4 linked regions of the Anolis sagrei genome follow. The main gene of each other region encodes a partner of the protein of the gene in region 3 in a complex. Links are inferred from orthologs where the notes say so. Each region holds a gene or a part of one and is shown on either strand. Other genes may lie near its edges. The genes, in order: CNOT10, CNOT2, CNOT9 and CNOT8.

The links.
Region 1: CNOT9 (region 3) and CNOT10 share a complex: the UniProt entries of both Homo sapiens proteins name them as parts of the CCR4-NOT complex. The link is inferred for Anolis sagrei from reciprocal best matches to the Homo sapiens genes CNOT9 and CNOT10.
Region 2: CNOT9 (region 3) and CNOT2 share a complex: the UniProt entries of both Homo sapiens proteins name them as parts of the CCR4-NOT complex. The link is inferred for Anolis sagrei from reciprocal best matches to the Homo sapiens genes CNOT9 and CNOT2.
Region 4: CNOT9 (region 3) and CNOT8 share a complex: the UniProt entries of both Homo sapiens proteins name them as parts of the CCR4-NOT complex. The link is inferred for Anolis sagrei from reciprocal best matches to the Homo sapiens genes CNOT9 and CNOT8.

What each region holds. Positions count from the first base shown.
Region 1 is NC_090026.1:81,514,032-81,520,974, forward strand, and holds the start of CNOT10 (CCR4-NOT transcription complex subunit 10), read right to left. Parts: upstream 3,020-6,943; 5' UTR 2,793-3,019; coding exon 2,771-2,792; intron 678-2,770; coding exon 583-677; intron 1-582. UniProt on the Homo sapiens protein: Component of the CCR4-NOT complex which is one of the major cellular mRNA deadenylases and is linked to various cellular processes including bulk mRNA degradation, miRNA-mediated repression, translational repression during translational initiation and general transcription regulation.
Region 2 is NC_090025.1:143,579,751-143,586,918, reverse strand, and holds the start of CNOT2 (CCR4-NOT transcription complex subunit 2), read right to left. Parts: upstream 3,017-7,168; 5' UTR 2,875-3,016; coding exon 2,836-2,874; intron 1-2,835. UniProt on the Homo sapiens protein: Component of the CCR4-NOT complex which is one of the major cellular mRNA deadenylases and is linked to various cellular processes including bulk mRNA degradation, miRNA-mediated repression, translational repression during translational initiation and general transcription regulation.
Region 3 is NC_090021.1:229,041,387-229,049,380, forward strand, and holds the start of CNOT9 (CCR4-NOT transcription complex subunit 9), read left to right. Parts: upstream 1-4,992; 5' UTR 4,993-5,058; coding exon 5,059-5,082; intron 5,083-7,994. Other genes in the region: USP37 (ubiquitin carboxyl-terminal hydrolase 37), read right to left, coding at 4,582-4,917. UniProt on the Homo sapiens protein: Component of the CCR4-NOT complex which is one of the major cellular mRNA deadenylases and is linked to various cellular processes including bulk mRNA degradation, miRNA-mediated repression, translational repression during translational initiation and general transcription regulation.
Region 4 is NC_090022.1:81,795,508-81,802,680, forward strand, and holds the start of CNOT8 (CCR4-NOT transcription complex subunit 8), read right to left. Parts: upstream 3,020-7,173; 5' UTR 2,705-3,019; intron 2,641-2,704; exon of another isoform or gene 2,478-2,640; intron 1-2,477. UniProt on the Homo sapiens protein: Has 3'-5' poly(A) exoribonuclease activity for synthetic poly(A) RNA substrate. Its function seems to be partially redundant with that of CNOT7.

The sequences.
Region 1 (6,943 bases), on a different chromosome or scaffold from region 3:
TTTTAGCAACAGAAACAGAAGTGAAAAGACAGTAACTGCCAAGAAGCAAGAACTAATAGTTGAGAGACATTGAAAAACCCATTTTTTTCTTGGATTAATACGCAACTCAGCATGTGACTATGATAAAACCTTCCATTAATTTTCATAAAACCGTATTGTGTTAGCATATTTATAAGATTTCTTTGTACTGTACTTTTGTTATTTAGTGTAGAGGAAGAAAGATGCAGATTGATTTTGAAATAAAATATTCTAATTTAATCTAAAAAATTTCCAGAAGAACAATTAAAAATCTGTAACACACACATATAAAGAAATTAATAATAAAAGTCCAATCACTTAGGCCCCATTTACACTGCAATATAAAATCTAGATTATCTGCTTTGAACTGAATTATATGGCATGTAGACTAATGTAATCTCATTCAAAGAAGATAATCTGGATTTTATATGGCTGTGTAGATGGGATCCTAGTGAAACATATTTTTGTCATGTCAAATAAAGTATTTCCTGAAAGCAGAAAAGAAGATTTGTAACCAGATGTACCTTCTGTTTAACATAACAAAATTGAAGAATCGTATCTTACCGTAAATGCTTGCAGTGCACTGTTTGATAGTTCCTTCTCTTGATCAGTAATCCCAGAAGAGATACCCGTTCCTTCATGTTTTTCTGTTCCTTGATCTAAGTAAGAAATAATTGAGAAGAGAAGAAGGGAAATATAAGAAGATGAAAGAAATCAACGCAGATCTTCAAGGACAATCTTTTACTCTTGTTAGAGAGAAGATATCAGTTGGAACTCTCCCCCCCCCCCCCTTTTACTTCACTTTCTGTTCCAGTGATAATAGGATTTTGAAAAAATCTGGCTTGTTGTGGAAACAAGGGGCCCTTCCAGACAGATCCTACATTCCCAGGATCTGACCCCAGGTTTTCTGCTTTAAATTGGATTATATGAGTCCCCATTGCCAGATAATCTGGGATAAACAGAAAACCTGGGATCAGATCCTGGGATATATGATCTGTCTGAAGGGCCCAAGGATTGGTGATAGAGCTTCAGTGGAGACACCTTTCCCCCATGATATCTCTTTCAGGAGTGGATTTCCCTTCTGCAGTGCAGATTTTTTTTACTTCCTGCTGTCTCACCCTCGTTCTTAACTATGAGTCATTTTTAAGTTGGATGTTTGTAACTCTGAGACTGCCTGTAATGCAGTTGAACTGCATTATAGGCATTATTTAGGTGTGTAGATCCATCCCCACTGCAACTTTAGCTCCTTCTTCCCCTGCCTTCTTTCTCTCAGGCTCTGAAAGGAGAAATCTCCAAGCTGTGTCCAACCAACCTAGAAACAGAATATTATTAAAGAACACAGAAATGCTGGACCACTATAACAACTACCATGTCAGACTACACTGAGAAGCCACTGAAATCCACAAGCATGTGGACTATTTCAAGAGAAAGGAGCAAACAATGAAAATGAACAAAATCTGTCTACCAGTTTGGAAAAAAATTCTAAAATCAGGACTATAAATAAAGAACAGCACTCACAAACAGGGGAATTCCAGACAAGAAACAATCAGGACAGCTTTTTCCCCCCCTCATTTCAGGAGTGACTTGAGAAACTGCAAGTCGCTTCTGGTGTAAGAGAATGGGCTGTCTGCAAGGACGTTGCCCAGGGGACGCCCGGATGTTTTGATGTTTTACCATCCTTGTGGGAGGCTTCTCTCATGTCCCCACATAGGGAGCTGGGGCTGACAGAGGGAGCTCATCTGCACTCTCCCTGGATTCGGAACTGCTGACTTATTGGTCAGCAGTCCTGCCGGCACAAGGGTTTAATCCAGGGGTCTTCAAACTAAGGCCCGGAGGCTGGATACGGCCCTCGAAGGTCATTTACCTGGCCCTAGCTCAGAGTCAACATAAGTCTGAAATGACTTGAAAGCACACAACAACAACAACAACAACAACAACAACAATCCTGTCTCATCAGCCAAAAGCAGGCCCACACTTCCCATTGAAATACTAATAAGTTCATATTTGTTAAATTTGTTTTTCATTTTAATTATTGTATTGTTTTAATGTGTTTTTTTTGCACTATAAATAATATGTTCAGTGTGCATAGGAATTCATTAATGTTTTTTTTTTTCAAATTATAATCTGGCCCTCCAACAGTCTGAGCGACTGTGACCTGGCCCTCTGTTTAAAAAGTTTGAGGACCCCTGGTTTAATCCATTGTGCCACCGAGGGACTCCTAATCACTTCCCAACAAAGGATTCCCTCAGGCAGGAAGCAGCCAAGCTTTGAAGCTGCGAGGCTATTCAACACTAATCAAGGTGATCAATTGCAACATTCACACTTGCCTCAAGCAGGCATGAGTTTTCTCCCACCCTGGACATTCCACATTTATATAAACCCCTAGTTTCCAACAGACCTCTCAATCTCTGAGGATGCCTGCCATGGATGTGGGTGAAACGTCAGAAGAGAATGCTTCTGGAACATGGCCATAATGCTTAGAAAACTCAGAGCAACCCAATCCCCAAACTGTTTTAGACTCCCAACTCCCAGCTGCTTGGGCCAATAATCAGGGATTCTGGGAACTGGAGTCTAACATAACTGAGCGACCAGGGCTTTAAAGAGACTTGAGATTCCCTTGACTTGAGATTTCCAGAGAGAAAGCCAGGAGAGAGATACCGAAGGAAACCCTGTCATAGGTACCCTTCCTCCCGCCAAGGGGCCTGGGCTGGCCTCCTTCCCTCCCTCGCCGGCCTCGCCTCTTTGTCCTCACCTCCGCCTCTGTCTGCCGCCATGGGGTGGCTCTACTGAAGGCTCCCGAGGTAGCTGCGGCCTGGGCGGACTCCACGACAAGGCCTTCCGCGCCTCACAAGCCTCCGCCTGAGGGAAAAGTGAGGAGTCGCGAATCAAACAAACCAATTTCTCCCCCTCAGCGCCTGACCCGGAGCTTCTTCTTCTTCTCCTTCCGGTTCGGGGAATGGGAGCTTCTCTAGCCCCGAACGTCTCCTCGCTGTTCTCAGCGCAGGGAGCGTCACGTGCGTAAAACCTGCAGTGGGCGGAGCTAGAAGCTTTCAAAGTTTTAGTGGGCGCGGCCGACAGGAAAAGAGAAGAGGGACCCGGATGTCAGCCTACTTGGGAATAGCAAGTAGCAGCAAACTTGGGCCCTCCCGGTCTTTTGGACTCCAGCTCCCACAATTCCTAACAGCCGGTAGGCTGTTAGGAATTGTGGGAGTTGGAGTCCAAAAGACCTGGAGGGCCCAAGTTTGCCCATGCCTGATCTACGCTGTAAGATAAATGTAGTGTGAGCCCATGGCACTTACAGTGGTCTCAAACTGAATTAATTCTGCAGTGTAGATGGATCCTCCACCTAAATCAAACCTTAAGCCTCCTATTGAGGGAGGGGTGATTATATTATATTATATTAATAATGTTGTAATATTATATACTAGCCGTCCCCTGCCAGGCGTTGCTGTGGCCCTCAGAAAACAGGAATTCCAGGCATGGAACAATAGAGACATATGGAAGGGACATTGAGAAATGGAACAGAAGGTAGATGGATAGAACATAGGTAGGTAGATGGATGGATGATCAGACAGACACACATGTTAAAGGGGCCAAAGGGGGTTGGACTAGATGGCCTTTGGGGCGCCCTTCCAACTGGTTGGCCATCTGTCGAGTAGGGTTTGATGGTGTCTTCCTTTACCGCCCAATGAGGTTGGACTGGATGGCGTTTGGGGTTCCAACTGGATGGCCATCTGTCAGAAGGGCTTTGATGGTGTCTTCCTTTACTGAAAAAGTGGTGGGGCTGGATGGCCTATGGGGCCCCTTTAACTACCATGGCTTAATGCTGTGGAATAATTCCATGGTGTAGACCAAGTAGGGGCAGACTTGGGCCCTCCAGGGGTTTTGGACTCCAACTCCCACAATTCCTAACAGCCTTCCTAGCAGCCTTTTGGGGTTGGAGTTGTTTTTGTCGCTGTGTTTTTCAGTGTTTTTATGAGTGATGGTCACTTGTTGGCCTGATAAGTGTATTGTCTCCAAATTTGGGTTAAAGCGCTGAGCTGCTGAGCTTGCTAACCAAAAGGTCGCAGGTTCGAATTTGGGGAGCGGTGTGAGCTTCCCTTGTCAGCCCCAGCTTCTGCCAACCTAGCAGTTCGAAAACATGCAAATGTGAGTAGATCAATAGGTAACAGTCCGGTGGAAAGGTAACAGCGCTTCATGCAGTCATGACGGCCACATGACCTTGGAGGTGTCTACAGACAATGCCAACTCTTCAGCTTAGAAATGGAGATGAGCACCACACCCCAGAGTTGGACATGACTGGACTTCATGTCAGGGGAAAACCTTCACCTTAACTTATACACCTTATGATACAGTACAATATATTATATAGTACTAATGGTATAAAATACTCGTAGTGTATTATATGTATTGTTGTATAATAATATAGTATAATATACTGCAGTATTCATGTTGGTTTGTTTGCGGAGATGTGGTTAGTTAAATAGCCTGGACCTGAACCATTTAGAGCTTTATCCATCTGAGTCTATCTATCTGAAATGTGGTCTTCCTCTTATCTTTCCTACTATCTTGTACCATGTTGTTGTTGGCCCTTCCACACAGCCCTATATCCCAGAATATCATGAGAGAAAATACCACAATATCTGCTTTGAACTGGAATATATGGCAGTTTGGACTCAGATAACCCAGTTCAAAGAAGATATTGTGGGAGTTTCTGCCTTGATATTCTGGGATATAGGGCTGTGTGGAAGGGCCCTAAGGTTCTGAAAAAGCACAGAGAAAGAGCTGATTCATGAAACAGTTGCTGGACCGTTTTTAGCTGTGTTTCTGTTGTGTTAAAAGTGTTTTTCCACTAGGTGGCATTATACAGCAGGTTAGTATGCATTTTAAATTTTAAAAGTCCTCTGAATAGCACATTTATTCTGGATAGAATGTTATTTTCATGCAACAAAATGTATCCCTTCACCTACATCAGTGATCGGGGAACTTTGGCTTTGCAGATGTGGAGCTGCAGCTCCTTATCACTAACTATCCTGACGAAGGGTGATGACAGTGGCACTTGGGACAATGCTTCTATAGGGTGTCTGATGCAAGCCTTTTAAAGCTGCTCTTAAAGCGTTAAAATGTTATAACCTTGGAATTAACTATCATTTTCCAGTCACAAACTAAGACAAGTGTTATGGATTTAATTACATAAAAGTGATAGCTTCCCAACCCTGGGGAACTAGAATACAGCAAAAATCTTTGAGAATTAGGTTTTGAATAAAGAACCATCTGGGAAAGATAAAATGTGTCAGCTTCTTACCATTGCCTCTCATTTTATTAATTAATAACCTAACTCAAGAATTACATTAATGCTGACATTCCAGCACAAATGGATAATTTTCATTTTAAAAAAAGTACCCTTTTATCATTACAAAAATTTCAACTTAATTTATTTTAGTTTCTATCCCTGTTCTTATCTAACACAAACAGTATATGCACAATATATTTAAAAGTAATATAGGAAATGGGATTTCTGCAGATATCATACAAGCTTCAAAAATTATCTCTCTCACATAACTAATAAAAAATATAGGAGTCCTTTCCTCTTTTTCACATGATCTTTGGTTTGCCTTTCATCTTTCAAATATGGCCATTCCAGTCAGGCTTGATCAGGAAAAGTAATTTCAGAGAAGAAAGTGGGCCTGTCACCAGACACCAGTATGATCCAACTAACCTCAGCTTTATAATTGTTCAGTTGTCCCTCCACATTTGTGGATTTAACTTTTATGGAGTTGATTATTCATGGATTTGATTAATATGATCTTTAGATCCTGGCAGAAGCTGACCATAGAGTTGCATTGGAGAACTTCGAGATTCTGAGCAAGTTGTTCTCTTGGGTAGCAAAAATAACTATTTAAAAATTCACATTTTCCCATTTTCATAAGGGTCCTGCACCCTCAACCATAGCAAATGTAGGAGAACTGATAGTACTTCTTAGTTATTATTTAAATCATTTCCCATATTTTCACCTCCCCCTCCCAGTTAGTTATAAATAGAATATAAAATATAATAAAATATGCATTCGAAATAAATAACAGAAATAAAAATACAACAATAATAGACACCCAACTAGGTAGACACCCCCCCCCCTTCCAGCAGCAGCCTTGAGTTCCTATATTGACAAAAAGGAAGGAAAAAATAAGTACATATAGAGATTATAAAGTGATTAAAAGTTTTGCTTCTGAATAAAGAACGGAAACAGAACAAATCCTTGCCTAGGGAGTTCCACTAGAAGTCGCTATAAAGCTCTTCTCTTGTATCCTTGCCAGCTAGAGATGTGTATGTTTTGAACTACTAAACAATTACCATGCAATTTAAATGAGAAATTACTTTGTATGTTAATCCCTTCTGCTTTCTATTTCAACAAATATAGGCAGCTAATTGTACTTCTGCACCCCCGGCTAGAATAAGCACATTTGTTTAGGTGTAAATACAGAATGTCTAAGAAACTTCATATTGTAACTCTGCTTTGCATTAGCTCCTGCATTTATGTGTCACGTGGGAGAAAAGGGCGGGGAAAGGGAGTCAAGAAATAAACATCTCACCATGTTACAAATCCAATTATCAGTGACAGGGCTAGTAAAGTCAAGTGAGTAATGCTGGCTAAAAGCAGCTTTGTGTTTGGCATCTCACTAGAGATTGCTAGAGACCAGCTGTACAAAGCGGGGTGGAACACCAGGTTTTGGATATACCATACCATGTCACCGTACTTTTTCTAGCATACACCTGTGTTGGAGAGAAGGAAGAAATCCAGCCCCACAGAAACAAAATATCTATTCCTGCTGCATTTGAGCTAGAAAGCAGAATTAATGCCTGGGTGTAGTCAGTCATAACCACAAGACAGCTCAGATTTAAAGGGAGCTTTAGGCAAAGCTCGGCT
Region 2 (7,168 bases), on a different chromosome or scaffold from region 3:
TTGTGCAGATTGACTTAATTCACAAAACTCCTTTGTGAAAATCAAGGTGTAGGGTACAAAATTATTCAGAGACATCACAAAAATCTGCTTCAGTTACATAAATACTAAATAGTATTTCAGTAAAAGTATAGCTGAATAAGTATGGTTTATTAAGTATCCTGATAAGCACTAAGTGTTTCCTTTATAGGACAATGTTTTTTACAGTTGTCTGATGAACATTTAGGACTCAACATCAAGGACTTAAGACAGCATCAATGACTGAAAGAATCATGCAATCCTAAAATGAAATTTCTGACAGAAATGACCCTTGGTGATACAAAGCATTCCAACTTTTACTTCACATGAGAAGTTTAAGAAAAGCAGTAACCATCTTTATTAAACATTTATCCAACCTGTGCTGTGGGTAGAAAACACAGTAAGTACCTGTAACTTCTTCTAAAAACTTTTTCCAAAAAGTGTATGAAGGGGAAAGAAATCCCTGCATACATTTAAAAAAACCATGTCCAAAGAGTAATATCAGATTCCTCTGCTAGGAGTATGAATACCTGCTGGATTCTTTTTTCCAAATAATAAATGCCTGTATAGTTTTTATAACTGTGCAAGTTAGGTTCAGATCACTTTCTCCTCCATGTTTTGGAAAGAATTTTAAAACAGACTTAAACTGTATGATGACTACAGAATTGGTGCAATGTTCAATACATTTTATGATGTTTTAATATGCTTAATATGTTTTAATTGTTTTTATTTGTATTTATATGTTTATTGATTTTTAGTTAACTATGTCATGTATTGCTTTTTTCTTATGTATAATGTGATATTTAATTTTGCCAAATTGTAAACTGCTCTGAGTCCTCCTCAGGGTGAGATAGAGTGGGATAGAAATATACTTAGTTAATTAATTAATTAAGACTGAGGGGGGGGGAGGGCAGACAAGTTGGTTAGAAGTGAAATGTGATGACTGACTAGCTCTTTTCCTCAAGTATTTTGCTGAAGATTTCAAAAGTTCAAAGCCTTTCACACCAATGTTAATTACACTGCAAAACTGAAATGTCCCCAATCCCTAGCAAAAATGACCTACAGCCTTGTGTCAGAAGCTTACATGCCTCTTTTGTAAATTATTAGTATTTCAGTTGGTAGAAACACAGGCAGCATTGCATGACATCAACTACCTGGGATGTTTAGTAGTCCAGTGTAAACTATAAATAAAGGACCCTTCCACACAGCTGAATAAAATACCACATTTTCTGCTTTGAAGTGGATTATATGGCAGTGTAGATTCAGGGCCTTTCCACACGGCCCTACATCCCAGAATATCAAGGCAGAAAATCCTATAGTATCAGCTTTGAACTGGGTTATCTTAGTAAATACTCATATAATGTGGGATTTTCTGCCTTGATATTCTGGGATATAGGGCTGTGTGGAAGGGCCCTCAGATAATCCAGTTCCAAGCAGATACTGTGGGATTTTCCAACTTGATATTCTGGGTTATATGGCTGTGTGGAAGGGCTCAAGCAATTTAAGAATGACAGATTATGGAATCACAGGGTAACTACAATTATTTATCATAGTATTATTTTAAAAGACAGTGAGTAAAGAAATCTTCCCTATGGGGAGCATCTGTAGAATTAATGTAATTTTACACTGACTGCTATGGCTGAGGGTCCTTCCACACAGCCATATAACCCAGAATATCAAATTGGAAAATCCCACAATATCTGCTTTGAACTGGGTTATGTGAGTCCACACTGCCATATATTCCAGTTCAAAGCAGAAAATGTGGGATTTTTTTCAGCTGTGTGGAAGGGGCCTCAGTGCTATGAAATTCTGGGATTTGTAGTTTGGTGAGATACTCGTATTCTTTGGTTGAGAAAGCTAAAGACTTGGGGCCCTTCTACACAGCCCTATATCCCAGAGTATCAAGGCAGAAAATCTGCTTTGAACTGGGTGATCTGAGTCCACTCAGATAATGTGGGATTTTCTGTCTTGGTATTCTGAGAAATAGGGCTGTGTGGTAGGGCCCTTTGTAAAAGTACAACTCCTAGGTCTCCACAGCATTGAGCTAAGGCTGTTAAACTGGTGTCAAACTGCATTAATTCTACAACGGAATATGTATTCTACTCAAAGCAGAGAGTGATGAACTACAATTTATAGTTACAATGCATTGTTGTTGTTGTGTGTCTACATCTGCAAACTTGGGAAAACGCTTGCAAAAGTTTGCTCCCTGGGTGGAACAAGGCTACATCCCCACTGACCACTGAATGCAGTTTCAAACCGGAACTGAAGAAAGTGGTTTCGCTGTGCAGATGATTACATGGAGAAAAATACAGAACCAGCCTGAGGCCCAGGCGGTGATTGCACGAACTGGGGGAGCACGGGGGCACATTCAGGGCTTGCTTTGGCGCACTTTTGCCGGAGTTTGTGGCCTGGCCGCGGCAGTTTGGAAACTGGCTCCCAACCGCGTTCCTTGCCCAGTATGGATTGGGGGGAGACCCGAGTCCCGTCCCCCAAAAGGCCCGGCTCTGTGGCGAGAGGAGACGCAACTCCAACGCAAACAAAGGACCCCTCGCGTCCCGCCAGCGACCCAGGCCAGGGCTCCGGCCTTCCTTCTGCGGAGCCCTCGAGGTGGGCCCGTGTTTACAAAACAACCACAACAAAACCCTTCCACGCCGCCGGTTTCTCCCAAGTTTCCTTCCCACCAAAAACTCGCCAAAGAGGAGGCAGGCGAGCAGGCCTGCTTGGTGGCGGGAGCCTCCAGATCCCTAGGCCGCAAAGCCCGCCACCGCTGGGAGCCTCTGCGCATGTACAAAGGGCAAGCCTGGTCCCTGGGTGCCTTACCCTGAGGCCTAAGGAGGCGGGGAGCTCGGATGCGGGCATAAAGGACCGCCGCCGCCACCACTGGAGTCGAGAAAGACGGGAGCGAGGCCTCCTTCCCCTTCGGAAGCCAGGGAAGGCAGGCCGGCCTCGGGGCTCCTTCCTCCTCCTCCTCGTCCTCAAGCGCTGCGCCTCCGAGCGGCCTTGCCCGCTTCCCCCTTCCCCTCAGGCATCCCTCCTCCTCCTCCTCCCCTTCCTCTCTTTCTCTTCCTTCCCTCAGAGAGACAAAAGCAAACGGAAGCGGCCCGGCGGGACCAGGCCGGCCTTGAGCGCCTCCACCCGGGCAGGCGCCTGCCAGAAGCCCCCCTTGGCTGCCCGCCGCTTCCCTGAGGAGGCTTCGAGCCGAGCCGCGGCGCCGAAGCGGGGGAAAGAATAACAGGGCCGCACTCACCGCATGAATTTTCTTGTCCCGAGGATCCAAGATGGCTGAGCACCCCGCACGGAGGATGCTGGGGGAGCGACCTTTGCCCTCTGACCCCGACGCTGCCGGCGTGACCTCGACGTCGCCGTCCGGCGGCCACGGGAGACGGCGCCTCTCCTCCGTCGCCGGCCTCGCCGAGGGAGAAGGGCCCTCGCTTACGGCCTCGCAAGGAAGGAGAGGAAGAAAGGGAAGAAGGGCCCCAGGACAAGGCCTCAGAGCGGCCTCGTGGGAGTCGAGAAGAGAGCCTCAGACATCCGGGGAAAGCGGGAGGGAGGGAGGGAAGGGGCCTCTCTTCCACTGAGAAGGAGGGACGGAAGGAAGGAAGGAAAGAGGGAGGGAGGGGCCCTTTTCAAACATAAACACACACCTCGGTTGCAGAAGAAAGGAAGACTTGCCCTGGCACCCCTTGGGAAGGATTGGGGGCCCTTCCCCACAGCCCAAAATAGCATGGCAGAAAATCCCACCGTGTGGACTCAGATCACCCAGTTCAAAGCAGACATCGTGGGATTCTCTGCCTTGATATTCTGGGATATAGGGCTGTGGGGAAGGTCTACAGCCTTCTCGGCCAAAGAATACTAGCATCTCACCAAACTACAAATCCCCGAATTTCATAGCACTGAGGCCCCTTCCACAGAGCTGAAAAAAAATCCTACATTTTCCGCTTTGAATTGGAATATATGGCAATGTGGACTCAGATAACCCAGCTCAAAACAGATATTGTGGGATTCTCTGCCTTGATATTCTGGGATATAGGGCTGTGTGGAAGGGCCCTGAGTCCACACTCAGATAATGTGGGATTTTTAGCCTTGGTACTCTGGAATACAGGGCTCTATGGAAGAGCCCCCTGACTCGGAGGCTCTCAGCACTATCTATTCTGAGGGCCCTTCCACACAGCCCCACATCCCAAAATATCAAGGCAGAAAATCCCACATTATCAGAGTGTGAACTCAAATAACCCAGTTCAAAGCAGATATTGTGAGATTTTCTTCATTGATGTCCTGAGATAGAGGACTGTGTGGAAGGGCCTTAAATTCCCTTCCAAACGGCCATATCACCCATGATGTCAAGGCAGGTCATTCACAATATCTGCTTTGAACTGGATTATCTGAGTCCACACTGCCAGATGATCCAGTTCAAAGCAGATAATGTGAGATTTTATTCAGGGCCCCCAGAATATAATAGAATCATTGAGCTGGAAGAGATCTCATGGGCCATCCAGTCCAACCCCCTGCCAAGAAGCAGGAAAATTGCATTCAAAACATCCCCAACAGATGGCCATCCAGCCTTCCAAAGAAGGAGCCTCCCCCACACTCTGGAGCACAGAGTTGCACTATTGAACAGTTCTCACATTTAGGAAGTTCTTCCTCATGTTCAGGTGGAATCTCCTTTCCTGTAGTTTGAGTGATATTATTATTATTACTATAACTTTACTTTTGTACCCAGCCTCCATGTCCCCGAAGGAACTTGAGGCAGCTTGCATACAGCACAATGTGCCTAAAACAATGCATAAAATAAACAATGCAATAAAAGATAAAACCAATAGCATATAAAACAATTTCAACTCAATAACCTATGGTGAGAACTGTTGTAAAACATCGCCAACTGTATACAGGAACAAGGGAATAGGATAGTGCAAGTTGTAGCCATTGTTCCACGTCCTAGTCTCCAGGGCAGCAGAAAACATGCTTGCTCCCTCCTCCCTATTACTTCCCCTCACATATTTGTACATAATCATCATGTCTCCTCTCAGCCTTCTCTTCTGCAGGGTAAACATGCCCAGCTCTTTAAGCCGCTGATCATCAAGGCAGATCATTCACAATATCTGCTTTGAACTGGGTTACATAAGTCCATACTGCCAGAACTTCTATGTAGATTTTATACAGCTTTGTGGAAGTATCCTGAGAAGATTTCCCTTCTCGTCTTTGCCCCACAAAACAAGCATTTTCAAACCTGATGGAATTCCAATAAGAACTTCTTTGCCCTTTCTTCTACATGGTGTCTTTTCAGGCCATTTATATAGGCATGCTTGTTTAATTTATATGCCACTTTTCAGTGGGACCCTAGGAGGCTTCTAAAAATGATACAGGCAGTCCTCGAGTGACAAACACCTGACTTACAAACTACTCATAATTAAGAACGGGTGAGACAACAGGAAGGGCAGTCTATCCTTAGGAAGGAGAAGGGAAGGGAAATTCACTCCTGGAAGAGTGATCAGGGGAAAAAGGTATCTCTAGTGGAGCTTTATCACCCATCCTTGTCTCCACAACAAGCCACATTTTCCAAAATCCAGAAAGGGAAGTGGAATCTTCTCAACAGCGGCACAGACAGCAAAACAGACCCCACAGAGGTGTTGACCCCTATGCTATCCAAAGCTTATATATGTGTATGTGTGTGTGTATTTGGCTGGAGTTATACTTTTAAAAAGTACATGTTCCAACAAAATAAACTTGAGAACAAACCTACAGGACCTATCCTTTTCATAATTTGGAGACTGCCTGCAAATTATTTTTTTTTACCCTACATGTTAAACACACACACCAAAACAGCCTGTTTTCAGAGGAGGTGAAATTCAAGTAATAAGAATCCCTTCACCACAGGAGTTTATGTGTGCTTTCTTACCTGTAGTAGCTTTTCAGACCACTTGTATGGCACTATATATATGAGAGGCTTTCCTGTTTTTCTTTAATTTACTTGTACATGCTGCTATTTGGAAAAACGGTATATTATAACCATTTGCCTACAACTTTAAAAAAGAAATAAAATCCTACCAGAGTACATTTTAAAATACATTTTAAATCCAATAATCAAAAGTTTAGTAAAAGAGTAGTAAAACACCCCCAATAAACCCACCCCACCTCTTTACTAAAAGCTTGGGAGGGACCTTTAACAAGCACAAACCAACACTGTGGTAAAGGCGGGGAGGTACCTCTTCTCTCTTTGCCCCTCACAAAACAGACAGGTTGAAATTCCAGTAATACCCTCTTCACCACAAGAGTTTGCTGTCTTTTAAGGTGATTTCTATGTGGTTATTTTTCTCTATGCTTTCCATGTTTGTTAATGTATATGCCTCCCTTCAGAGCGAGACTACAATTAAAATCCTATTATGATACATTTTAGAATCAATTTAAAATATTCAGTAATTGGATAAGATGGGTAAAACATGCCCGACCAAAAACCCCCTTATAGCCTAAAAAGCTTGGAAGGGACCTTTTAACCATTACCAACACAGGGAGCCATAGCTGCCCTGGCTAAGAAGCCATCTCTTCTCTCCTTATTTCCCCAAAACAGTCTGTTTTCAAACATGTTAAAATTTTAGTAACAATTAAAATTGTGTCATAATACATTTTAAAACCAACTTAAAACGGTTTAATAACATTAGTGAAACATGTTCCACAAAAAGCCACCCCACATTATATAACATTAGCTTGGTAGGTATATTTTGCAAGCACAAACACATACCTTGCCGCAGCAAGGCCACCCTTGCATCATGTAGTAAAGGTTTGTCTTTCACAAAACAGGCTTTTTCAGACATGATGAAATTCCAACATGGGAGTAATATCCCCTTCCCCAGAGGAGTTTTCTTGCCCTTGTCAAATGTGTCTTTTTAAGTGATTTATATATAGTTATATTTATGTGTGTTTCCCCAGGATTTTTTAATATACTGTTTTGCTTTCAAAATAGAATAAATTAAAAGCATTTGCTATTTAATTAAAAATATAATTAAAATTCTATTATAATAACATTTTAAAATCAATTAAAATATACATTTAGTTTGATTAGTAAAGCATACCCCATAAAAAGCCACCCCACTGTATGTACAACATTTTTGGTTAAATAAAAATGCCTGCCGACAAAAGGACAACAGGAAGGGAGTTT
Region 3 (7,994 bases):
AAAAGGGGGAAGGAATAGGTAGGGACCTCTCTTTCATAATAGTCCAGATATCTACCTCAACTTTGATAAGTTTTACTATAGGCCACAGCAACGTGTGGCAGGGCACAGCTAGTAAATGGATAAAAATGAGGCAGTTGCAGGGTAGGAAAACAATTTCAAGCCCTTATCCATGAGAAACAAATGCCTTATGGCAGGTGGGGGGACTACATGGAATACTGTTACACTTGTTGTTTTTCCACCTGCTAGCAAGTAGTTACAGACATTAAGTGGCATTGCTGTGTGTTTATGCATATACAAACACAAGTAAAATGAGAGGATAGAAATAATTATTGTTCAGTGGAAAAGGTTGCAATTCTACACACAATCACCTCGGAGTAAGTCTCATTTAATTTAATGAGATTTACTTCTATGCAGACGTGCACAGGATTACACTGTACAATATGAATACATACCAGAAGTATACTAAAAACTATTTTTAGTATGCTAGTTGTACACAACCTGAATGGGAAAGCTTGCCTTCCAGACAATGTTGAATTCCAAGTCTGATCCCTTATCAGTAGCTATATTGAAATGGAATCCTTGTTCCCCACTATGTTCAGTAGTTAGATGCATGCTAGTTACTCTTATTTTGGGATTTTTAACTCTACAGGTGTGCAGCATTCTGACGAAAATGACTGTTATAATTCTACTGCAATTAAGCGCATGTTGCCACCATACTTAAAAATATTCAGCAAAGTAGGAGGTCAGGGTCTCCATATTCCAGTAGGAAAAAGTATTGTAGGAATAAGTGTTTCACACACTGTACCATTACAGTCCATTTTTAGCACGAGACGAGAGTAAAGTGGTTCTGCAAATGCCGCTGGGCTATAACTCCCAGCAACCCTAGTCAGAATAGCAAACGATGAGAAATGCTGGGCCTTGCAATCTAACAATATCTGGAACACTTCACAATTCCCACCCATTAAAGCAAATATAACCAGCTTCATTGGTTATACAACCTATACCGAAATAATTTAGGAGAAACAGTATGCCAGTAAGAACTATATTTGGGACTTTAGATAGGTAACATGTATTACTTTTGCAAAGACATGACTTCAAGGTCACAGAGGGGATCTAAGAATGAAGGCCATGAGGAAGTCCATCCCTATATTTTCTCCCCCAGCTCTGTTGCCATTTCAGTGAATGTCAAATGGTCAAATCAGGAAAGTGACCCACAATTCACATTGACACTGTATAATCCACTGCTGTGCCAAGACATAAAAAGCAGGGATTCTGCGCAAAAGCTTCTCACAAGCAAGCCAAAAACAGTGAGCATAACTTCCACAACATTTAACAGGATTACTTTCTACTAAGTACTCAAAGTATGGAGAGAGGTGTGGATGCCCTTGCATGGAAAGATATAAGAACCGGAAACAACATGAGAGAACAATTATCCCTTTTTAATAAACTAAAAGTGAAAAGTAACACATTTTATGTGAATATTATTGGAGAAGATGATCTAACTGTTACACCAACTGTATTTTTTAACTGAATGGGGATTTGGGAGGGATGTTTATAAAGTTCTCAACACCAGTTATTCTTTTGTTCTTTGGCGGTCATAAGAATATTCCAAAAGAAAGCAGAATCAGCATTTGAGAGTTGCTATATTCAACATGGGAGTACATTTTGCTATTTGTATCACCAACCTCAGTATATTTACTCCTCCACTAAGTACTCTCACTTTGGTATAACATAAGATTCATGCTACCAGTGGGTTTGTTTTGTGTGTGTGTCAGGAGCAGCTTGAGAAACACTTCTGGTTTCTCAAGCTGCCCAGAGGACACCCAGATGTTTTGATGACAGAGGGAGCTCTTCCGTGCTCCCCCCGGATTCGAACCTGCGACCTGTCAGTCTTCAGTCCTGCTGGCACAAGGGTTTAACCCATTGCGCCACCAGGGACTCCTACCAGTAATTATAAATGTTACCAGTATTTATAAATTGAGTGGAATTATTCACATCCAATTAAACTGCTGCCTACAATACAACAAGCAATGGGTGTGTGGCATAGAAAACCCTTATACTAAATCAGGGGTCCTCAAACTTTTCAAACAGGTCATAGTCCCTCAAACTGTTGGAGGGCCGGATTATAATTTGGAAAAAAAGAATTAATTCCTATGCACACTGCACATACCTTATTTGTGGTGCAAAAACACTTAAAAACAATACAATAATTAAAATGAAGAACAATTTTAACAAATATAATCTTATTAGTATTTCAATAGGAAGTGTGGGCCTGCTTTTGGCTGATGAGATAGGATTGTTGTTGTTGTTGTTGTTGTTGTTGTGTGCTTTCAAGTCATTTCAGACTTAAGTTGACCCTGAGCGAGGGCCGGGTAAAAGACCTTGGAGGGCCGCATCCGGCCCCCAGGCCTTAGTTTGAGGACCCCTGTACTAAATAATGCAATGCCTATTTAAGACTATGGTGCACCAATTTTTTGTGCTACTCTGGCCACGCTATAACTAAAAAGTCATACAATTTGTAAAGAACACTCAATACTATTTACAGCAAATTCCTACAAGATATGAAGAAACTTGAAAGCAATTTAGAAAACTAGTAAGTTGTTAACGTGTTCTCATCTACCTTGGAGCCAATGAAACATAAATTGAACAGATGGAGCCTCCACAGGTTAACCCACAAAGAAGTTTCACTTGCCTCATTTCTACATTTCAGTTTTCTGGATAGGAAACACTCACTTTTACAGAAACATGGCTGTGAGTGGATCTAGGAGTCAAAGCAAGGGAGAAGCTCACCCCACTCATCTCGGCAAAGCTTTACATGCCTGGCTAGGACTAAAGGGATGAAAGAAAGGCCAACAAGTGGGTGACTCCTAGACACTCTCTTGTCTCTCTGGTGGATCAGAGACAAAAACAAACAATGGGAGATAAGCAGGAAGGAAAGGAAGCGGAAATCAAGGGGTGCATCTACACTGTAGAATTCATACAGTTTGACACCACTTTAATTGCCATGGATCGATGCTATATTATCATGGAATTTGCTGAGGCACCAGCACTCTTGGCAGAGAAGGCTAAAGACCTTGTAAAAGGTAGGTAAAATGGTCTCAAACAACATTGATTCGGCAGTGTGGATGTAACCAAGGTCTGGACCAACAGCCCTGGAAACCTGAGCAGTGAGAAAGAGCATGGCTCAGGCTGAGGGCATGGGATGAAGAATGCCACAAACCAGGCCGAAGTTACCATGGAATAGAGGAGCAAAGGAAAGAAAGAAGAGGTGCACCTATACCAGGTATGGGCAAACTTGGGCCCTCTGGGTGTTTTGGACTTCAACTCCCATAATTCCTGGGAGTTGAAGTCCAAAACAGCCTGAGGGGCCAAATTTGCCCAAAGCTGACTTATACTGTAGAACAAATGCACTTTTGCACCACTTTAACCACCTTGGCTCAGGGCTATAATATTGAGGGGATATGATTTTTGGAAAGTCTTTAGACTTCTCTGCCAAAGAGGCTGCATGCCTCAGCAAACTAGAACTCCAAAATCCCACAGCATTGAGCCACTACTTATTTATTTATCATATTTGTATACCGCCCTTCTCAGTCCGAAGGCGACTCAGGGCGGTTCGTAGTTGGCAACATTTGATGCCTCAACAAATAAACAATCATAAAATACTGTTAAAAACATTCATATAAAATATAAAGTATAAAAACCATAGAAAGCCATAAAAACATTATCATGAGCATCTCCTTGTTAAAATTGTTATTTAGTTACTTCGTCAGGTCATTCCATGATTTTATATAATTACGCTGGATTAGCAAAAGCCTCCTCAAAAAGCCAGGTTTTAACCTTTCTTCGGAAAGTCAGGAGGGAGGGGGCCACTCTTATATCCCTGGGAAGGGTGTTCTGCAGTCGAGGGGCCACCACTGAGAAGGCCATGTCTCTTGTCCCTGCCAAATGCATCTGTGAGGGAGGCGGGGCCGAGAGCAGGGCCTCCCCAGATGATCTTAGTGACCTAGAAGGGTCATAAGGAGTTAGGTAAGCTGGTCCGGAACTGTTTAGGGCTTTATGGGCTAAATCCAGCATTTAAAGTGGTATCAAACTGCAGTAATTCAACAATATAGATCAGGCATGGGCAAAAGTCGTCCCTCCAGGTGTTTTGGACTTGGAACTCCCACAATTCCTAACAGCAGGTCAAAGTTTGCCCATGTATGGTATAGAAGATGGGCCCCAAGCGTGGAGCAATCACACTGGAAGGCAAGGCATGTCTGGGGCCGAAGGGAGGAAAGGAACCAGGCTCAGGCTGTTATGGGAGGCGTGAGCGAGGGAAGGAGGGAAGGATGAAGGGAACTTCTTTCCACCGCTTTAAACGCCCTGGCTCAATGCTATGGGATCCTGGGAGTTGTAGTTTGGTGAGGAAGGGGTAAGGAGGGAAGGGAGAGAGGGCGGGAGGAGAGGGCCCGGTGCCACCGAGCAGGCCTGCCCCTTCGCCCTCCCCGGCACTGAGGAGGCAAGAGTTCCCTCAGAGGGTGCGCCACGCTCCAGACAAGCCCACCACCACAGAGGATGATGGCGGCGGCGGCTTTCCTTCACCTTCTCCGCGAACCCGTCCGGGCTTGGCTCCGTCTCCAGGCCGCCTCTTCCTCCTCCTCCTCCCTGCCTCCGTTCGCGGACACCAGGCCCGCCTCGATCCCAGCCGGCCTGGCTTGCCTTCACGAAAAGGGCAGATGGCGGGAACCAGATCGGCCGCGCCACCGTCCTCCTGACGCCAGCACGCAACGTAAACACGCACGAGAGGGGGGCGGGACCGCGGACAGGACTGGATAGGGAGGCCCCTACGTCATCACGCCGACGGCCTGGAAATCGACTCCTGCCATTCCTGCGCATGCGCACTGTTTCCCTCTGTGGTTTCGAGTTCTGGCGACGCATGCGCCTTCTCGCTCTCCTCGGGCCCAACGCTTATGCCCGCCGAGAGGTCAGAGGTCGCGGCAGTGGCGACGGCGGCAGATCCATCATGGCGGCGCCTGAGGTAGAAGCGGCTTCCTGAGCTCCCGCGAAGGACTCCCGACCATGCACAGCTTGGCCACGACCGCGGTAAGGCCGGGCCGGGTTCGCGGGGCATGGTTTTCCTCGGCAGGGCGGTCAGGAAGCCCGCTGAGGGGCTGAGAAAGGTCTGGTTTCATTGGCCGGCGGAATGAGGGGAGGGGGCGGCAGAGGCTTGTTTTCCCGCCAAATTGCTCTCCTTCAGAAACGACGGGTCCTCCTTAGTTACTCGTGCAGCTCCCTTCCGCTTCCCTGAGAGAGGACCTTCGGCCCAAAGCGGCAGCAGCAGCAGCATGGCGGCAAAGAAGGCGCCTGCAAGGAGGCGGGGCCGGGAGCCTGTTTCCCCCCCCCCCCCCCCCCCCAATGCGCGGATTCATCGTTTATGGTGGCTGATGCGTAAAAAATGGCCCCGGAGTTGAACATAGAAGCATGAAAGTGGTAGTTTTACGAGGTCTCCAGCCTTCTCTGCCAAAGAGTGCTGCTGCCTCACCAAACTACAGCTCCCAGGATTCCTTAGTATGGAGGCAAGACAGTTCCAGGGGCATTCATTCTACAGTGTGGATTCGATTTATTTATTTACTATCATTATATTTCTACTCTGCTCTATCATACCCCGAAGTGGACTCGGCATACAGTTTTGGCAATTTCATTGCCACATTGCACAGATATATATATATATATATATATATATACACATATAACATCACATTAAGCATAAGATCATACATACACACACACAATTAAATGTATTCTCGAAGGCATTCATGACCAGTTAAAGCATGCGATGCAGTGTATTCTAGCATTCCAGAATAATATTTTCCCTAGCATGTGGCATTGGAATCCTGTTCCTAAGTGAGAGCAAATGCTGCAGAATGGAAGGAGGCTTATTTGAGCTTGTAAAGACCTTAAATCAGCAGCGCTCTAGCCAGAGGGGAGGGTTAGGGGTTAACACCCCCTCCCAAAATTTCAGGTTAAAAAAAGATGAATTTTAACTGGTTAACCAAATTCCCATGCTAAGTCTATGAGAAGCAAAAACTAAATGAGTGCCTCCAGAATTTCAAGCACTACTTCAAGCAAATTTTGACAATTTGTTTACACTCATAACTTGCAGCAGTAGCCACGATGGCTCACCCATAACTGGCAGGCAAAGCCTAATGTATTGAGTGCGGGTTGGATTTGAAGGCCCTCATGAAGGAGACCATACTTGGTGGGGACGGTTGACAGGGGCGGAGCTGCAGGCTATTGCTGTGTTCTTTGCTTCGGCATGAGGTAGGAGGCAGGTTCCTAATGGGGAATTAGGCCTTTCACTCGTTGCTTCCACCCTCCCCTTTTCCAGTTAGTAGGTTCCCATTGCTGCGCCTATATAGAGCTCGTTTTCAACTCTTAAACGTTTGAAAACATACATAAGAAAAACAGTGAGGCAAGAAAGACTGACTGGACTTGTACTCTTGAGTGTCCACTAAAGTTTATCAATGGAGCCTGCTTTCTATCAAAGTATATTGACATAGCTTTCAAGTGTTTCCAACAGACGCTATGATATTCTTTTGTAGCTATAAATTACCAATTAATAGTCATTTTCAGTTATTTTAAGACTTGAAACTCTGTAACTAAAATAGAAAACTGATTTAATTAAGTTTATATAAAATATAGAATGAACCATACTATTTAAATTATTTTGTGTTATGGAACTACTCTTCATGATTCGCTTAAAAAGGTTTCAACACCCACCCACCACCCACCCCCAATTTTCTGGCTATGGCCCTGTATATCATTCATGGGCAAACTCAAGCCCTCCGGACATTTTGGTTTCAACTCGCACAATTCCTAACAGCCTGTGGGAGTTGAAGTCCAAAACACCTGGAACGCTGAAGTCTGCTCATGCCCGAAAGAGTTAATTTAGTTTGACACCACTTTAACTGCTATATTTCAATCCTATGGAACTCTGGGAGTTATAGCTTTACAAGGTCTTTTATCCTCCTCTGTCAAAGAGTACTGGTGCCGCCCCAGTATAATTCTACAGTATAAATGTGCCCTAAAGCAAATTCTAAAGCATCAGTAGCATCACTCATAAGTTTTAAATTCTTTAGAAATAACCAGAGATGGAAATGATGCTTTAAAAAATATGGTAGTAGTGGTAAGAAAAGACAGCCAGAGATGCAGGAACCTTGTTCTCAAAGGTTACAGTTGGAAGTTCCCTCTCCAAAAACCAGAATTAAGGAGTCCACCTTAAGTCAGCTTTCCTTTACTATTTTGTATTTACTTCACTTTATTGCCATATTATACTCTCCCCCCCATCCTGTTGGATACTTCACATTGCATTTGTTTCTCCTTGTTGATTTGTGTTAGGTTCTAACAGGTTTTCTATCCTTACTTTTAGAAATTACCGTGTTTCAAATTTAGTGATTTTTAATATCTGTTGTTCAAGACATCATAAGACTTAAGAAATAAAACCAGAGAGATTCCTTTGCAGTTCAACTGTATTTGTAAGAAAGAAAAAGAAATAAATTCAGTTTGATTTATTTTCTGAATCAGCTCAATATCTGTATAGGTTGACTGGAGATATGAACTTAGAAAAACTTGTAAAAATGTGGGGGGACAATTTTTCAGGGAGCAGAATGAAACAAATATAAAACATTTTCGTATAGATCTATAAATATTCAAGACAACATGTTCATATATCTAATTTCTAAAAAATGTACATCCAGTAGACTTAGTTAAGAATATTTACAATAGTGCACTTTAGAGTGCAGTTCTAGAGACAGGTGTTAGTACACTAGCCATTGGCTATAAACCTGCAGTTAATTTCCAGGAAAGAAATACTTATAACTAATGGGCATAAATAGCATGCTGGTTGTTAGCCATTAGAAATAGAAACCTGGCTCTGCCACATTACATTAGCCTGAGAAGTATTGAAGTATAGTATCAAAAGATACTACTGTAAAAGTAGTGGTACGACACCATCT
Region 4 (7,173 bases), on a different chromosome or scaffold from region 3:
TTAGGATATTGCAACAGAGATCCTGCTTCTGCTTGTCTCAATGAAGATGGCTTACAGAAGGAATGAGAACATCAGTCACTGCTTCCAATCAGTTGGATCACAGACCTCCATCAAGTGCCGGGCCTTCTACCCAGCCAGTAGGAATTGGGGTGAATGGGATTCACTGTGTAACACTATAAATATGGTGCCCATGAATCTATAGCTTCCTAACAAGAATCTGACAATTGTTTTAGTCATTCGAAATGTGAAAACAGAATATTTTAAAGTAATGTCTGTATATGTCTGTCTATTGAAGACATAGACATTTTTAAATTCCTGACATTTCTGCATTTCTGGGATTGTACTATCTTTACTAAAGGATCTCAGTGAATCTTATATTCTTGTGAACTGATATTTGCTTCCTGCTTTGCAATCTCCGATGTAATTGAGATATGTTGTTTTGGAGTGCCTTCAAATGATTTCTATATCATGAGAACACTAAAACAAACCTAGTATAGAATTTTCTTGTTCAGAGAGGGTTTGCTCTTGCCTTCCTATGAGGCTGAGTGTGTGACTTGTTCAAGGTCACCAGTGGATTCCCATGTCTGAGCAGGTAAACATGTACAGGACTGCCCTCAAAATATATGTAAATTTTATTTTTTTTAAATCATCAACAATATCTATGAAATTGTTAAAAGAGAACAATCATCCTCCACACTTGCTAGGGTAATGGGTATAAAACCCTTGTGAAAGTGAAAACCCACAAATAAAGAAAATTCTATTTTTTTTACATGAGAAAATATATTGCTAAAAATTCGTAGTTCTTTCAACATGACTATGATCAACTTATCTTGGAAGCTGATGCACTGGAGAACCTGGAGAAATTGTACTTCTCTATGCGCTATCACTTGGAATTGTTTTTTTGAACAAATACTGCACTAGTTTATAAACAATTATTTGTATGCACAATTACACAGTTTATGCCCTGTATACAAGAAGCTTTTTTGTATCGATTACTTAAATGACAAAAAAGAAATGTTATTTGCACTGAACAAAAGAGCGGACTACTTCCCAACATGTTCATTCAAGGTGCTTTACTTTAAATTATGATAAGAATGTACTTTCATATTCCCTCTTCACACGAAAACCTAGCAAGAGAGAACTCTGTAAATACACACTGCATATCCCCTATGCAGCCAAATGAAATGCTCCAAAATTGTCCATATGAGTAGCTGAGATAGCAAAACCTTTCTGGTGGTTCAATGTACAAAGCTCATGCTCAAAATTATTAAAATGTATATAAAATTATCTTCAGACTATGTGTGGAAGATGTCTGTAAAATATAAACGAATTTAGCACTTGGGGGTCATCTTCAAGGTATCTCATTATATACGTAGATGTAAACAAAGGTATTCTAAAATCAGAAACAAAATCCTTCTGGTCTAAAGCATTTCAGATCAGGGATACTCCACCTGAACCACCTTTCTAATTGTGTCTGCTTCTTCCTTCATGATTGCACTATACCTAAATGTGCTGCTCAGAAGCAAAGAAAGGGAAACAATAGGAGAGGCTAGGCCATAAGCAATATTCACACAAGCACACAATGCTAGGCCCAGTAAAGCTCCTCAAAAACCAGGAATGGAAAGGCATCCCTCTTTGGCTCAAATCCCTTACATGTATGTGCCTTCAACTCTCCTGTTGACTTATGGAATGAATTTCATAGGTCTTTCTTAGGCAAGGAATATTTGAAGATGTCTTTTGCCATTTCCTTCCTTTGAAACATGGCCTATAGTGCCTGCTATTCCTTAGTGATTTCCCACCCAAACAAAGAGATATCTGACCTATTTATACAGATATGGTACAATAACTTGTTAGGCTATATACTTCTTGAGGGATATCTTATGTGTATAAAAAGGAAACTCATACACATATATATGTGCATATACATACACATCAAGTTGCCCGCTGATTCTTTGAATTTCAGAGGGTTTTCTTCAGGAAGGAATATTCAGAGATGTTTTCTGCCATTTCCCTCCTCTGAAATATAGCCTACAGCACCCGCTATTCCTTATTAGTTTCCCATCCAAGTATAGATAATTGTCCTATTTATACACATACAGTAGAATAATCTGTTACGGTTGCATCCTTTTAGGGGACTATACCATGTGATTAAATGTACTTTCAAGGTGCTCATCAGCTCAATGAATTCCCTAAGGTTTTCCTAGGCAAGGAATGAGGTGTTTTCCCCAGTTCCTTCCCCTGAATTATAGCCTAAGACGCCTCCCTGGCGGCCTCCCACCCAAGTGTGAACTAGGCCGGCCCTGCTTAGGTCCCTTGCCCCTTGCAACATGGAGGCCTTCCTCCTCCTTCCACTGAAGGATTCGCAGGACTGTCTCCTCTGCAAACTCGACCCCCCCCCACCCCCCACTACCACACACACACACGCCGTTTCCCTTCCAATTGATTCATGAGGGGCTGAGCCAGGTGCCTGCTCTCACTTCTGAAGGGGGATTTTGGCAGAAGGGAAAAGCACAATCCCGCCAAGGAACGAGCACGCTCTCTTTCTCCCTTCCTCTGGGCCACGTTATGAGGCAAAAGGGCAGCCAGCCGAGGAGGCTTCGGGGAGAAAAGGAAGACCGCGAGCAGGAAATCCGGTCCGTCCCGCTCTTTCGCTCCCTCCCCGCCTCAGGAAACCCCGCGGCCGCCGCCGCTTCCGCCGCCTTACCGGAAGAAAACGGCGCGCGCCGGCCCGTCCTCGCTCTCGCGTCGCCTGTGTTTGGGGCTGAGGGAGGGGGGAACCGAGGAGGAGGCCGTTCTAGGCTACCTCCGTCCCATCACTCGGTGATGCGATGTGGATGTTTTGTTGTCGCCTTTGTTTTGCTTCCTCCGCTGCCTCTTCTCCGCACGCATGCGCCCTGGAGAGCAGCAACGACCCTCCCAAGGTTGGGCACCGGAAACGCAAGGGAAGCGCGCGCCTGTTTGCGCACGCGTGTGGAGCCACCCCAAGGGACGATGTTTTTCCTAATGCGCATGCGTGTGGAATCTCCTCACAGGACGCGCTTTTTCTTACTACTCATGTGCGTGGAGCCGCCTCAAGCGATGCTTTCCTTCCTACTGCGCATGCGTGTGGGGCCGCCTCAAAGGACGCTCTTCTTCCTACTGCGCATGCGTGTGGAGCCGCCTCAAAGGACGCTCTTCTCGCTACTGCGCATGCTCTTCTGGTCTGACTGAAACTGGAGCAGCCTGCGGTTCGTGGGGAAGCCAGGCTGAGAGGCGGCTCTGTGGGAGTGGCGACGGAGAAGGAGCCGGTTATCTCTGCTGACAAAGTGTTTTGTAGCATTTAAAACTTCTTTCCTGGGTACTCTTATTAATGTGGGCATAAACCCTTAATGTTGAGAGTGTGCTATGTGGGAGAGGACTGCCTGATTTATAAGGAAGTGGCCCTGTTAGTCTCTTGCAGCATAACAAGGGGGAGAGAAGCAAGAAAGATGGCAACATATTTAAGTAATTTGGAGGGGGCAAATACATACACACATATATATATAAGACCACTTATTTAGATGCAGGGCAGAGTGAGAATAAGCCAGATAATTAATTACCTTTATTGCATCCAAAGGTGTGGGTTTATATCCCACAGAAACGCTTGTGAAAATAAAAAGGAGCTCTCACATTTCTTTTTTCTCCCTCTTCTTTCTTCCTTTTCATAATTTCGTTTTCTGTGCCGGGCGGGGAACATGAATGGGACTGTGATGGCATACTTGAGCTTTTGGGAAGACTATTGTCTGTCTTTACTCAGGGGCTATCGGATACCTTCTGTTAAGATTAAGTCCCTTAGCAGACAGAAGCTCTTTAGGCAAAGTGAAAAGATAACCAAAATGAGTTTACTACAAACAAGAGGAATAAAAGAGTTAACTCCACTCGGGACTATCATTAGGTAACTTAAAACAATACATTACAAAAGGAGAACTTACTGGTTGCAGTCATATTTCTGGCATCTTCTGCCTCTGATGTAAAGTAGTGAACTGTCACAATCTTCTTCCTTGTGAAGCTTAGGCTGACCAAAAGCTTCTGTTGTCCTTTGGACTGTAGTATATAAAAATACTGCTAAATGCACCAGGTGCTAAGAATGCCTGTTTTTGGATTCCTTGGCCTAGGATTACCAGACAACGCCACAAGCCTGTAGAAAAGGGAGGAGTCCATCAAGAGAGCACTATACAGGGAAATGAAATAGACCAGCTAAGACTGGCCTGTGGGGGGATTTTAAGATTCACGCAAAAACGAATACAAAGAAAAGTCTCTACACTATTGGGAAGGCCTGTATACAGGGAGAACTAACACAGAGGAGAGGAGAAGGCAGAGCCAAGACTTCACAAGGACCATCAGAAATTGGTGGGCAACTATCATTCCTAGCCTTTGGAAATGCTCAGTTGAGATTCATTCTCAGTTACTTCCAAAGGGTTGTTGCACTCTTTGCTAAAAGGCTTATCCTTTTTAAAATAAAAGAATTTGTTTCTAGGTTTAAAGGATTTATAAAACCAATCTGTGATTTGGGGGGATAAATTGTTTAAGGCAGAGCTTTCCGAACATTTTATGTTGATGACACACTTTTTAGACATGCATCAATTTGCAACACAGTAATTCATACACACACTTTCTTCTTCTGCAGATCCTGCTGCTTGGCTCACCATTGTCCTCTCTTGATAACATTCTTCATGATGTTAACATTAATGCTGAGAATCTCCTCCTTCTCCCGAATTTCTCTTTTGGACTGACTTTTTCATGCACTTCTTAGGGCCATACAGTAGAATATGGTGGACCCAATGTCTGTAGAATAGTTAATCCAACTGGGGTTTATTCCAAAATTTAAATCCCACAATATCTGCTTTGAAACGGGATTATCTGAGTCCACACTGCCATATATTCCAGTTCAAAGCAGATAATGTGGGATTTTATTCAGTTGTGTGTAAGGGACCTTTGATAGTTTCTCTAAAACCGGGCTGAGTCCCTCAGTGAGGTTGAGAAGCTCGGTATAGAAAACTGTGAAATAAATAAATAAATAATAAAATTTGAAATAAAAGGCCATAATGGATTTGCTGCTTTACTAACATGAGCACTACTGGGATATTCAGTCATCTGAAGACCTTTGTCTCAGCCTTTCTTCTGTGGTGCTTTGATTTGGCCTTCATCTTACCTCCTTCGGTAAGGCTTAAGCCCTTTTGTTTCCCCAAGGAACTTCAGCTCAATTATTTTTCTTGACCTACTCCTTAAACACCAGAGTTTCAATCTTCACTTTATCCCTGCTTAAACATATTTATTAGAAAAATATACAAAGGAATCCAGAAACACCTTTGAAACTTAGATAAGAATTTTCTGGCATAAGCTTCTGTAAACTGCAGTGCATGGAGTGAAATCTCTGTGGACAGAGATATATTCCAAGGCAAGGGTGAAGGAATGTGAAGTGTAGTAGCAATTCAAAACATGGAGTGGTGAGAGATTTCTTTAATTGTGATCTTTATTTATCATGTCAGTAGCAAAGCAAACAGTTGTATTGAATTTTTTAAAAAAGCAAACAAACAAATCACAAAGTTTGTAAGCTTGGTAGTTGATTAAATGCCCTTTGACCAGTAGCTGGCCACTTGGAGCGCCTCTGGTGTTACTATAAGAAGGTCCTCCATTGTGTATGTAGCAGGGCTCAGAGTGCATTGCAGCAGATGGTCTGTAGTTTGCTCTTCTCCACACTCGCATGTTGTGGATTCTACTTTGTAGCCCCATTTCTTGAGGTTGGCTCTGCATCTCGTGGTACCAGAGCGCAGTCTGTTCAGCGCCTTCCAAGTTGCCAATTTTTCTGTGTGCCCAGGGGGGAGTCTCTCATTTGGTGTCAGCCATTGATTGAGGTTCTGGGTTTGAACCTACCACTCTTGGACTCTCGCTTGCTGAGGTTTCCAGCAAGTGTCTCTGTAGATCTTAGAAAACTATTTCTTGATTTAAGTCGTTGACGTGCTGGCTGATACCCAAACGGGATGAGCTGGAAATTTCACTGCCTTGGTCCTTTCACTATTGGTTTTCACTATTCCCGGCAGATGTCAGGTGGTGCAATACCGGCTAAACAGTGTAATTTCTCCAGTGGTGTAGGGCGCAGACACCCCGTAATAATGCAGCATGTCTCATTAAGAGCCACATCCACTGTTTTAGTGTGGTGAGATGTGTTCCACACTGGGCATGCATACTCAGCAGCAGAGTAGCAAAGTGCAAGGGCAGATGTCTTCACTTATGATCATAAGTAGTTTATTAATATTATACCATAAGTCACTCCCATACAATATTTAATGTAGCAGTATAAAAGTACTACATAAAATATATGCAAAATATTCAATTCAATGCATACATTAAATATAAACAATACTGTAAAAGCATCCCCAGAGGAATTGGTTGGAATATCAGTGATAAATCTTGCCTAATTTTTCATCTCAGCCAGGGCAAAAAAAGAAACCTTTCAAGTTACCATGGAATTAATATCAGACAAGAGATTAAAAAAAATTCTGAAATATTATTAGAAAATAAATAAGCTAGAAAAGATCCAAAAAATTTGCTTATTGGTTAAGAATATGATGAACAGAAGAGGAAATAACAGGACAAATCATCAATTTCTAGGGCTCCACAAATAGAGGATCAGAAGAATACAAGGATATCTGCCATCAATCATAGCAGTAGGCATGGCTTGAAAGCGAAGGGCTGTAAGCATTTGCCTAACTTTGGAAGTATAAGCTTAGCCAGGTAAGCCCCTTGATAGTCAAATTATAGTCTCTGCCATTTTGAGAAATTTGTTATTAAGGCCCGTCTGTCCAGTTGTGTACCATGGTGAAAAACCATACTCGCAATACTTTAGAATTCAAGATAGAACAATTGTCAAGCAGAGTAGGATACAGTTGAAGCAACCTTTTATATCTTGAACTCCAAACTGCAGTTTGATAGCTGTTCAAAACGTATTTTGAGGAAAACTCCGGCAAATCTTTCAAAATTCTCCAGTAGTTAAATAAAATGAAACGTGAGATCTAATAGAAGGTAAACTGACCTTTGCCTGAACTAGGGCTGCAATGTACCAGATGAAAGTATTTGCAATTTCTCAAGAAATGTTTTCTTTTTTAGTCTCAATTGTTGTTATTTTTTTAAATGCAATTTAAAACTCGTGTATTC